Saccharomyces cerevisiae S288C: one gene and its partners. The protein of the gene in region 1 interacts with the protein of each later gene in a pairwise test. Each region holds a gene or a part of one and is shown on either strand. Other genes may lie near its edges. The genes, in order: KEX2, KEX1 and FTH1.

What was found.
Region 2: the proteins of KEX2 (region 1) and KEX1 interact in binary tests that used the Saccharomyces cerevisiae proteins (3 or more experiments, as listed by UniProt).
Region 3: the proteins of KEX2 (region 1) and FTH1 interact in a protein complementation assay, tested with the Saccharomyces cerevisiae proteins (2 studies listed by BioGRID).

The regions. Positions count from the first base shown.
Region 1 is NC_001146.8:200,445-205,479, reverse strand, and holds KEX2 (kexin KEX2), read right to left. Parts: upstream 3,053-5,035; coding exon 608-3,052; downstream 1-607. Other genes in the region: YTP1 (Ytp1p), read right to left, coding at 1-292; LAP3 (bleomycin hydrolase), read right to left, coding at 3,547-4,911.
Region 2 is NC_001139.9:111,899-116,243, forward strand, and holds KEX1 (serine-type carboxypeptidase), read right to left. Parts: upstream 2,767-4,345; coding exon 577-2,766; downstream 1-576. Other genes in the region: YGL204C (uncharacterized protein), read right to left, coding at 1-107; ARO8 (bifunctional 2-aminoadipate transaminase/aromatic-amino-acid:2-oxoglutarate transaminase), read left to right, coding at 4,161-4,345.
Region 3 is NC_001134.8:633,560-637,190, reverse strand, and holds FTH1 (Fth1p), read right to left. Parts: upstream 2,046-3,631; coding exon 648-2,045; downstream 1-647. Other genes in the region: DUR12 (bifunctional urea carboxylase/allophanate hydrolase), read left to right, coding at 1-488; mannosyltransferase KTR3, read right to left, coding at 2,355-3,569. UniProt on the Saccharomyces cerevisiae protein: High affinity iron transporter probably involved in transport of intravacuolar stores of iron.

The DNA of each region.
Region 1 (5,035 bases):
AAGCGTAAACGGCACAAGTGCATTGTAAGAGGGTAGCTGAATATATCCTGCCAGCGAACGAAAGGCACGTCACCACGGATGGTAAAAGCAACAAGAATCCCAAAGTGCAGAGCCAGTGGAAAGATTTCGACCCAGCCTGCACAATTTCTGGCCTCGTGTATCCCGAAGTATCATCCATGCCCATATCATGCTCCATATCACCGCAGACTTTTTCAAAGAAAAAGCATATTAGTAGAATTGCGCTAATGGATCTGGAAAATCCGAAGACAATATTCTTATTAGCTGCTGTCATTCCTTCTAGGCAGGTAAGGTTTATTCGACCTATTTTTTGTTTTGTCTGCCGTTTTAAAGTTATTCAGCTGTGGTCTTAAATATGCATTAATTGGACCCTCCCCTTTTATGTGCTTGATATATCGGTTCGGAGTTTTCATTTTATTCGCGGGTGCAAACAATGCAAAGTACATCATAGGGATTTCAAACGGAAGGAATAGGATATTAATGTTTGTTTATATATCATATACACATATACGTATACGTATGAGAGAGTATTATAATCTATAAGAAAAAAATGCTATTTTGTAATTTGAAGCTTTCTGTACATATCGAATCACGATCGTCCGGAAGATGGAGGAACATCAGGCTGTAATTCTTGTAATTTATTGGAAGCAGATTCTGCGTTGGCGTCATTTGGGAACTTTTGCTTTATAGGGTCACTAAATGGATTTTCGTTTGTTAGTACACTATCAATTGTATGTTCAGCATCACCGTTTTCTGATGAAGACAAACTTGCAAGATGGTCTTCATCGGACAAATCAAAATCGAAGTCCTCAACCTCTTCGGGCTCAGTAATTCCGGAAGTTCCATTGTCCAAAGTAGAATCGTACTCAGAGTCTGTATCAATGATATCGAATTCATACGTTTCCGCTCTTGACCTTCTGATCCTTCTCCTTGATTTCATAAAAAACATGAAGTATAACACCAAAAATGTGGCGCCAATCAAAAATATTGTTAAAAAATAATGCATGGCTTGCCTAGGAGAGGAAAGTTTTTTAGGAGTGTTTGGATCAGAATCAGGATCGGTACTCGCAGTAGTCGTTTGGGGAATGGCCGACGTTTCCACACCAATTGAGATAGAAGATGTAGAAGTAGCGCTGATGGAAATAGAAGTTGAACTGGCAGAATATTGTGATACGGTACTTTCTGTAGCAGCTGGTTCAACCTCCTCTTTATCGTTTCCAAAGACGAAAGTTTCTGTTTTAGATGAATCAATGGATTCCCCAAAGAGCTTCAGCCTCCAACTGTGGAAGTCAATCCTGTGTCCATTTTCTGTTGTCTTAACCTTGATTTTCCAATCACCTACGCCGTTCTCACCCCAATGTGCTACAGACATGAATGTCCAGTCTTTGAATCCCTCTGATGAAACATCTCTTGGTCTTACAACGCCAAGGTTTGAAATTATCCCCGCTGGTGATATTAAATCGACAGTCGTAGTTCCCCTAATTTCTGTATCAATATCTACAGTTACCGTGACGTGCTCAATTCTCTTGAAGTTAGCATCTTGAAGACTTTTTTCTGATATGGTTATGACGGATTCTAATGTCTCTTCCGTGGAGTTTGTGGACTGGGAAACATACAATGTTGGCAGGTAAAACCAGGTTTGTGCGTTAACATTCTCCCAGGTCTTGGACATTTCAATTAACTTATGGGCATCGATTTTACCAAAGCCATAGCGATGAGAGTATTTCTTCCCCATGGCGCTATCTCTCCAATCTCCGTCAGCGTTCTTTTCTAACCCTACCGCAGACAAGATTGATAAATACTGTACGTCTCTCCAAGTTAGGTTTGGGTTGGCTTCTAGTAACAAAGTGTAAACACCGGCAGCTAATGGAGCAGCCGCAGACGTTCCACCGTGGCTATTACTGCATCTGCCGTTGATATCACTCGAATGAATATATTCGCCTGAACCTGAAGAATACGTGACTGCCATGACGGCGGAACAACCTTCGGAATAAGGAGGATGTAGATCTTTGTGATCAATAGCCCCAATAGTAATAGAATATATGGAATTAGTATAGCCGTCGTAATTGCAATTATCACCACGAGTTCCACCATTTCCACTGGCAAAAACGTAAATCGCTCCTTTGGAATCTCTTCCCTCAGTAACACCTTTTACTAAAGCCTTTTTCACCAGGTCACTAGGGCCTTGTAAATGTCTTCCGTCATCAGCGGGACCCCATGAGCATGAATATATATCGTTTACGTCTAGACCATAAATCAAGGACGCAGCTTCATCTTCCGTAGTGATATCACCGGATAAGATTCTTATGCCTGAGATTTTAGCGTTGTAACCTACCCCGACACCGCAAAAATTGTTACCTTTTTTGGCAGCTATTTCACCTGCACATCTCGTACCATGGTAGTCATCAGATAATCTTGGTTTAGGTAAATTGGTATTGTCGTTGAAATCCCAAGAACCTTCAGCGCAAAAATTATCCTTCAAGTCTTCATTTTCGTAGTCAAGGCCATCATCAACAATGGCAGCCACGACCCCTGCGCCTGTAATATTATTGTACCACAGATCAAGAACATTTATATCACTGCCAGGAAAACTTGGATTGACCAAGTGCCACTGCCTCTCAAAAAGCGGATCATTTATGCTGAGTTTATCCTCAGCTTCTTTTACCGGTAACAAGCTTGAGTCCATTGGTGGAGCAGGCACCGGTAGTCTCTTAAATAGGTCGTTACGCGGGAATAAATCATGGACAGATAATATGTGGTCGTTGTTATCCCCCTGTAACTCTTCTAATGATGATCTTTTGCCCAATTTTAGCAACTCTTTTGAAAAAACATAATGGTTTGGTAGCCCTCGAACATCATGTTCATATTTCCAATTTGGATGCATTTCCTCCAAGCGGGATAATGTTTCATTGCTTTCTACAGCAAAATACTGTCGTGACGTATGGTCCTTCAATGGAATTTGTTGTGATGATACAAGAGCGGATGTTGAAAAGGCCCACCAAAAGCATAAAGTAATATATTTCCTCACTTTCATCTGATAATGGGTTAGTAGTTTATAATTATGTGACGAGGCCAAAAAACAACGGGATTAGTTTATCCTTAGTATGGTAGCCGAATGAATGAAATATGTGGAATAGATTTCTCTTTTACAAAACGGGATGTTTAAGCCAGGAAAAAGAACAGGCTTATGACAGAATTATGCATATGAAACGAGAGAAAGAACACGTCCAGCAAATATGGAGTACCTTGTTTGCCTTTAGAAAATGTTTCGGTTTCAATACTGTTCTCTTCAGCGATGCTGTTGAAGTATCAGCTCAGTTATTTAATATGCTAACCTTTCCTTTGTTTGTTTTCTTTTTCTATCTTTATTTTTTTTCCATTTACCGTTTTTTGCGTTTCAGAAAATGACCCTCATTGATTATATGAATAATAATATACACGTTATCATTTTTTATTTCTTTTATGTATGTATAGTAAAAATAAAACATGTCGAGATACGTGTATCTACATCAGAGCTGCTGAAACTATTTATTTGGCCAAAGCACCCATTGGGTCCCAGATGGGCAAGACAATCGGCTCTTCCTTACCTGAGGTGAATTTTGAAGCCAGCTCTTTTGGCAATTCATTGATATCGACCACAATTTGAAAGCAGTACTCCTCGAAGTACTTTTGAGTCATCACGTATAATCCGTCTTTACCGGAGTCTTTACCCCAGGAATTTTCAACGCGGTAGCGAAGTGGTAATTTAGACGTTTCATCGACGTGGCAGCCAGTGATCAACATAGCATGAGTCATCAAACTTTCATGGTATCTAATACGCGATGCCTTTTGCTGAGGTAAATTATAGCCGATGGCAGGATAGTTCCACAATTCAATATCCATGACACCAGTTTTCTTGTCCATGAACTTTGGAGTGTGAGATCCAAAAAAGACAGCTTTGTTATTTTGTAATCTCTTAACAACCAATTTAGATAGTGTTTCATTGTCAACATTTAAGTAAATCACGGCATCTCCGCCAAGGACGTTTCCTAAACGATCGATCTTAATTAATTTACCATATGGGTGTCTTGGATCATTGATCAATGAGACTGGCGTGGAAGGGTCCAATTTTGCGTATTTGGAGGCAAATTCTAACGGAGTCGATTTGATAGTGTGGATTTTCTTGTCTTTGTCAACGTATTCCCAAGTGAATTGCTCGTTTGGTTGCACTGGAGGTATGTCCATGAACAACGACATCAACCTGAAGATTTCTCTTTGCATTTGCTCTCTCAGAGTGACAATTATGGAATCATCGGCAGAACGCTCTTTCAAAGCTGTTCTTAGAGTCTCGGCAAATTCTCTCAGTTTAGTAGTCAACAGAGAATTCCATTTTCTGGACGCAGTAGTAGAATAAGGTAGATCCCCGTATAAATCTTTGGGGATAAGGCCATACTTCTTGACTAGGTTCAAAAACATGCTGTATTGGCCACCGTCTTCTGTTGGAGCTGCTAACAAGTATTGCACGAGACGTGAGTCGATGTCTTGATCAGCCGAGGAGACGATTTGGTCCAAGAAATAGTTGGCCTTTTCCAACTTATCGTAAAAGAACAAGTAAGCTTGGGACAGTTCGAATTCTTTTAAGTTCAATTCAGAAAGAACATTCAAGCGCAGTTGATTGGTAGCGGCAAACAACCAACATCTACCAGAGCTTTTTTGGTTGGTGACTGGAGTGGAATCAGTAGAGACAACAGTGTTGAAAACCCTGTTATCTTGCTTTTGCAGTCTAGTCTTGTTCAACAGTGCATCATCGGCATTATAATTCTTAAGGACAGTGGTTGCCAATTGATGGGTTAAGTCGGATTGAAACTCTTTGTTCCAAGAGTTGATCTTACTGATATCGATGGAAGAGGACATTCTTTTTAAAACAATTTGTGGTGCTCGTAAAAGGTGGCTTCTAAACGTCTTGAGATACAAGGACCGGGAAACAGAAGTAGGAAGCATGTAACAAAAGAGCAAGGGCTATTTATCGTTTATTTAT
Region 2 (4,345 bases), on another chromosome or scaffold:
AATAGTCCTAATACAAACAGAGGGCATGCTGTTATAAGTATAAAATGTTTGCTGTAACTAATGGTGGGGGAAGATTGCAAAAAACGAAGGATATCAGTTCCATTCATTTCCAGGGATTTGTGTTGATATGTGGGGCTATGAATGCGTTGAAGTTTTCAACTTCTGTGAAGGAGTTAAAACAACCACTAAACAATCTCGTTCAAAAGCTCTAATTACTTGTATATTATTTTATACGTTTATGTCTATTTCAATGCAATTACGTGAAAAATAAAAGAACGCTACCATAAAAATGTTAAAAACTGGTTAAAAATGTCAAAAAATGGTCCGAAAACTGAAAAAATATTCGTGATACAGTTTGCATAAAAAAAAACTATTGTGCGCGATTAATATAACCTACTAGACTTAAATGACGACACTTTAATATGAAGTTCAGTAGTGTGAATTAAATAAAACAGTCAGTTCTTGATGGATTGTACCCTTTAAAGAATTTATCTTTATGTCGCTGTTACTACGAAAAGCGTGTGCGAGGTATTATAACTATTTTTCTGTATTTTTTATATATTTTTATTTGCCAAGTTAAAAATCAGTCATCTCAAAAGATTCATCGATTTCAGTGTTCGGAAGGCTAGTATACTTCTTCTTTTTCTTAGTTTTCAATTTAGATCCTGCTTTGTTAGAAGTGCTACTTATGGGTGCTCCGCCTTCTAACTGCTCATCTTGTTCTAAATCATCTTCTGCCCCGAGTCCGCTTTCCAGATCATCTGCCCATGAAACTGTCTTATTGGGACTGTCATGTTGTCTATTATTTGGATCAACTAAAATTGTGTGACGCGCTTTTCTCCTCACTCTTCTATCATACGCATAAACTCCTAAAACCACTATCAAAAATGTAACGATGGTAACTACTACCGCTTTGTGTTTATACATTGAAATCTCTTCTGCAAATTCTTCTACCTCTTCCTCTTCTTGTTCATATTCTGAAGATTTATGTCTACTATCCTCGAGGCCTTGATTACTTTGTTTTTCATTATTATCGTCTTCATCATCGTCATCGTCATCATCGTCGTCGCCCTCGGAGTTGTGATCGTCTTCATCGTCGTCATCATTGTCGTTATCATCATCGCCATCTTTATCTTTATTGCCTTCTTTTTCCTTTCCTTCCTCATTCTGCGCTTCCTGTTCTTCCTCTTCGAGGTTTTCTTTTGGCTTATCACCGCTTTCAGTAGTAGCATCTTGATCACTATCGTCGTCAGTAGTAATCATAACATTTTTCCCATTGTTGTCAATGATCATAACATCGTTCGAGTAAATATCGACAATGCCTCTACTCACTAAACTTTTATCGAAGGGTACCATGTGAGAAGCATTATAAACGCTAACAAACGTCAAATTTCTATCATACTTCACGTATCCGCTAAATTCTTCGCTGTCGTCTGTACTCTTCGATTTATGGATCCAATCGAACGAAACAGCATCGTCGCTAAATCCCTTTATTCCACCCCATTTTAGATTGTCTATAGTATCTAATACGCCCTTGTTATTACAAATCAAGTCTTTGTCACCATTGAACAAGACAATCTCTATTCCACTTTCAAGTAGACCAGGTAATAAATGGATAGATGGCTTTGAAATAGGATTAGACAATTTAGTTCCAACGCTATTAGTGCATTCCTTCCAATGATCAATTTTATCAGAATCAAGATGCAACGAATCAATAACACCAGGTGTGCTGAAGAATTTACTGACAAAGGAAATATCTTTCGGCCAATTCATACCACAAGATGGATAACTATCTTTTAAATTGAAGTTATACATGTTCAAGCAATCCGCTGTTCCCTTTTGCGAAGATTCCCTGGTATAAGACAATAGAAGGTTTAAAATATTCTCACATTCCTGATACGAAAAATGGGCTGCCTCATCTGTACTGGCAGAGTTTATCAGATTCTGGCAATTCTCGTGTGCGTTCGTTAAGTGTTTGAAATTGGGGTTGCTTTCATCAATCAGTTTCTTCTCCATAGCAAACGGAAGGTACGATAGGGACTGTGTATTGGGGTCAATCCAACCGTTACCAATCAATAGCGCCTTCAAGTCGTATGTATCCCCGTCGATCTTTGAAAATTTGTTATGGTTCAAAATTGCATTGGCAAAGAATGGTATGTATTGGCCAGCGTAACTTTCACCCGATAGTATGATTTTCCTAGTGAGGTCTTCTGGAAAAATCTTGAAATAGTTCTCCAGAAAATCCATAAAATGCTTGGTCACATCTTCTAGGTCTTCGTCAAATTTGTTTTTGTCGATTTTACCTTCGTCTTTATTTTGTTCGACAGAAAACCCAGTACCAGTAGGTTGGTCGATAAATAAAAGATCGCCTTTGGATATCCAGGACCCTTCATTTAGATAAAGTTTACCGTCTGAATTCACCCTAAAAGGGCCGGATTCGACCAAGGCACCATCCATGGAAGAGCAACCGGGTCCACCATTTAACCATATAATTAAGGGACGGTCGACATTGCCATTAGAGTCGTTATTGGTAAACTTCCAAAAAAAGTACTCCAAGTCAGAGCTATCCTGTTCATCCGCATCTTCGGAACGTAAAGGAATATGGCCAGCATGCATCTGTGGAATATTTGAAGGGTCTGGCACTTCAGATAACCCTGGCAACAGCTCATATGCCACTTTGTACTCCTCAGATGACGGAAGGGATACTGAGATCCTTATTAAAGCAGACATGGCTAGCCACGTTCCGAGCCACCTATTGTAAAACATCTATTCAGGTCTTTATCTCTACGGTATTCTATAGCCAAGGTACTCTTTAACCAAAGTATGCTTCAGCAAGCTTTTTCAAATAGATGGGAGTTGAAGACAATGATAAGAAATCGCTTTTCTTAATGTTTCCTATATTATCAAAATATTCCACTTTTTTTTCTTTTTCCACATTGTTTTTCGGTTCCGGGCTGCAGTAAGCAAATATAAATGTTGGTGACAAAACTTGAAAGTTATAGCCAAAAAGCTCGCAATTCCTCACCTAACAAAATGATCCTGTTGGAATAAAAATCAACTATCGTCTATAAACTAGTAGTCACACTACCAGTATATTATCATATACGGTGTTAGACGATGACATAAGGTATGAGAAACTGTCATCGAAGTTAGAGGAAGCTGAAGTGCAAGGATTGATAATGTAATAGGATAATGAAACATATAAAACGGAATGAGGAATAATCGTAATAATATTATGTAGAAATATCGCTTCCCCTTTGAGGATTCCTCTACCCTCGAGGAGAACTTTTAGTATATTCTGTATACATAATATTGTAGCCTTGATCAACAATGAAATGCCTACAATCATCTTAAAATTCACCAATCTCTCAGCTCTTATTTAAGCTTTGTTGAGACGAGAGTTAGTTATCCGACAATACTATACAAGACATTAACATCATTTTTCGTGCTGTTAGGGTGGTGTCTTTTCATTTGTTGCAATAAATGATAAGTAGTTTACCGTCCATTAACATGTGCATTAAATAATAGCATTATGTGAACATAATGTATATTTAACTAAAACTATTATCGAAGAAATCCGAAGAACTCATCCTTGTTAGCTCAGTTGGTAGAGCGTTCGGCTTTTAAGCGCATTTGCTTAAGCAAGGATACCGAAATGTCAGGGGTTCGAGCCCCCTATGAGGAGTTCTTCTTTATTTTTTTCCCGGTTCACTATTTTTCCAAGATTAAACATGGCTCATATACACCATCCAAAAATCTCTTAATTAACCTATAACCATTGTTCTCCTTCACCTCATTCAAGAATCTGGCTTCTGAATTGCCATTGATAGAAGAACAGTACTAAATTGCGCCGGAATAATGAAGAACATCCGGGTTACCTTAGATGTCTTTTTTTCCTTTTTTTATCACATTTTTCACTCTGCACTTTTTCACTTTCTCGAGGTCCAATCTATGACTAATATTAAGCGCATTTCATTTGAAGATATGTGTATCGCAATCTTTTTTCTTATCTTGTAGACCCTCCTATACACATCTCTAGACTATATATTTGGTTTGGTTATATCTTTAAGAACTTATTTCTTTTTCTTATTTTTCCATTCCACTAAGTTAAACCCTGCAGTTGATACAGACATTGAATAGGACAACCGATCGTTACTATCATGACTTTACCTGAATCAAAAGACTTTTCTTACTTGTTTTCGGATGAAACCAATGCTCGTAAACCATCCCCATTGAAAACCTGCATCCATCTTTTCCAAGATCCTAACATTATCTTTTTGGGTGGTGGCCTGCCATTAAAAGATTATTTCCCATGGGATAATCTATCTGTAGATTCACCCAAGCC
Region 3 (3,631 bases), on another chromosome or scaffold:
TTTACCCAGTTTCTGAAGAAGATTTGGATAAAATGACTGAAGATTGTGATAATGGTGTTTATAAAGTCAATATCGAAAAGAGTGTTTTTGATCATCAAGAATACTTGAGATGGATCAACGCAAACAAAGATTCCATCACAGCATTCCAGGAGGGCCAGCTTGGTGAAAGAGCAGAGGAATTTGCCAAATTGATTCAAAATGCAAACTCTGAACTAAAAGAAAGTGTCACAGTCAAACCTGACGAGGAAGAAGACTTCCCAGAAGGTGCAGAAATTGTATATTCTGAGTATTCTGGGCGTTTTTGGAAATCCATAGCATCTGTTGGAGATGTTATTGAAGCAGGTCAAGGGCTACTAATTATTGAAGCCATGAAAGCGGAAATGATTATATCCGCTCCTAAATCGGGTAAGATTATCAAGATTTGCCATGGCAATGGTGATATGGTTGATTCTGGTGACATAGTGGCCGTCATAGAGACATTGGCATGAATTACCTTTTGTTGGCATCTAAAATCAAAGGAGCACTCATTTAGTCTTTATAGCATGCCTTTTTCTAGCTATTTTTAATGACGAATATATATGTACATAGTATTTACTGTAAAATGTATGAAAAGAAGCTTAAAATTATTACGTGTGTTTGTTATGTTCTCAATTTGCTGAACCACTGCTATCAATTATTAGGGGCACAGAACTATCTTTGGACCGTCTTTGACTGTCTGGCTCTGATGTGCTAGAGTTGAGTTCAGAAGTATGATGTTTGAGATCGAGCGATGCCTTGGCAATGCTTAATCTTTTCATAATACGTTTCTTTTGCCAGCTAATAGGTAGATATGGGATATATCCGTATTTTTCTTCTATCATTAGCAGTTTCAAAGCGCATATTAATACCAACCAGTAGGCGTTGTAGCTAATTACAGAGCCGACGGTAGCACTATTCGTCCAACCAAAAATGGCAGTAAAAATCATCCAACCTCCATCTTTTTCACCATTGCAACAATTAACATGCCAAACAGAACGAGATATGTCGTACGAACCGGGTCCATTTCCTACTTCACTCATGTCTTGACCGTTACATTTGTTGACGTAGTCTTGCAATTCAAGTTGCCATACACCTTTGGAAAACAAACCAGCCGCGATCAAGTAGAGGAAGCAGGTGGCGACTACAAGGCATATCTTAAGTGAAAGAGAACTTGAGTACCTGAAGAAAAAAATACCGAACACCGTACTGATTGCAGTAGCAAGGACCATAGAGAGGGGAATCGAGGATAGTGGTTGGTCAATACCGATACCTCCAATGAATACAACAGCTTCTAACCCTTCTCTCAAAGTCGTTATAAATGGTAATATGAAGAAGGAGTACTTTTCACTGAATTTCACACCTTTTTGGGTTTTGTTTCCCAGCAAATTATTGTCCTTTGAATAAATGATAGAAGCTAATTTCACTCTGAACTTCTCTCTTAACTTCCCCATTCTTAAAAAAAACAACCCCATGACAGAAATAATAACGGACGCGACAAGACTTAAGACACCTTCATAATAATGTTCACTCAGTGTCCATAAGTCGGTTCCAATATGATAAAAGATACTAACAAACGCACCCCCGATTAACATACACAGCAACAAACCAAATGCGCCGCCCGCTAGAATTTGTATTTTTAATTTCTGATATAGCTTAACGTTGTCAGCCGTATGTTCATCGGACTCGCGGTCCTGGTCTCTAAGCTCATTAGAGTACTCGTAAATTTCTTCTTCTTCCTCCACATTTAGCGGCCTCGATTTATTATTAGCAGCCGTAGCGGACGTTCCAATAGCATTACCGTCTGAAGGCCCTGCTTGTAAGAAGGCAGTGGTCGAATCTGCGTTTGTGTTCGTATTTGGACTTGGAAGACCAGCAGAAGAGGAACTTCCTTCAAACGGGCTGTCGTCCTCAACAGACAGACCTTGTTTGACGATCGTCAACAGGATAGAAACAATGACAACAATTTCTAAGGATTCCCTTAAGAAAATGAAGAATATCTGGAAAGAAAAATAATCCTCAAACGCCATGGTGACTAGAAATATGAACACCACTCTAGTTCTCTATTCTTAGAGTTTTTTCGCTTTTCTGTAGAGGACAAAAGTTCAGTAAGATGCTTGATTCTTTATAATATCAAGTTTGTGTTTTTGTAGGCTGGTTTAGATACAATTTTGCTTTTCTCTCTTCATCTCCGGCCGCACCGCACCCATTTTTGAACCCAAGAAGGCACTAGAATAAAGTGAGGTGGCTACTACATTGAATTATGTGTATATAGATAGATACATGTTGACGTTTTAGCACCTGTTTTGACGGAGCAGGCGCTATTTGTAGTTTGGTTTTTAAATTCCTGGTGGAAGCTTGTAATTTCCTGCTGAAAAGTACTTTCTAGTACAGAAGTAGTCAGGAGTCCAGGTGACGTCCTTGCTAGGTTCGCAGATACACTTGTTTTGTAGTCTAATCTTCTGTTCGATAGGACAAGAGGTGAAATCTGGATGATGGAATCCAAGACCGTCAAAGAAATGGATTTCTGACTTGTCCAAGAACAAAGAGGCAGCGATGGAGTGCACTGGCGCATCCCCCCATCTTTCGTAGAAGAATCCACCAGAACTGTCTAAGTAATCAAAGTATTCTCTGTATGCATCGGACCTGAAGAAGTCTAAAGAGCCGATTTCGAAGTTGGTCCAGAAATGACACATATTATAAGTGTCACCATCATCATTCGAAATGAATTTCATGAGGTTATTTTTGTGTAAGAATTTAGGATTTTTCTTGATGAATTTCTTTGTCGTTTCCCACAAGGTTGGGATTGTGCGCTCATATTCACTTACCGAAAGAATGAATCCATATTTCTTGTTATTTACTTTTAAAAACTTGAATATGTCATACTGAATATCACAGAATAAAGTGATATCGGTATCCACTCTCCAAAACCATTCGTACTCCTCCAGTAGTGGGTGTCTCCATATGAACCCTGACTGGAAACGGCACATGTGACGGTAAGGCACGGAACTACCATATGGAATATCCAATTTTCCCATTGCAAGCCTTTTCTCATCGAATTTTTCAGTATCGATCCAAGATGGAATGGACCAATGGTCCTTTGGGATTGTCCCATATTTTGCCTTGCCTGAAACCAATGCACTGGTAACACGTTTAAACTCATCACTAAATGGTTGGTCATTCAAGAACACCCAATCGTAGTGATATCTGTTATTGAACCTGTCTTCAACATGTCTAATAGATTTTACCAAGTTCCATAAATCTGAATTCCTGGCCAATGTGACCATAACACCCTTTTCCTTCTTTCCATCGTCCACGGGATGGATTACTCCTTGTGACTTGTCAGTAAACGGCATCAAATAATCCTTACTGGCTACACGACTGACACTGGTGCCCTGAGCTATTGGTACCTCTGGGGACCTTGAGCCACTCATGAAAAATAAAAAGGATAACACTATGATGAGCCCAATGAATGATGATCTGATTCCCTTTTGGTATTTTCTAATCAGCAATGCCGATTTGGGCATTAGCTTCTTTTTGTGGTGCACAGACATAATTGCACGCTGGATATTGATAGTGTTGTTGTCCGCAGACGAGGCCTGACCTTCTTTATGCA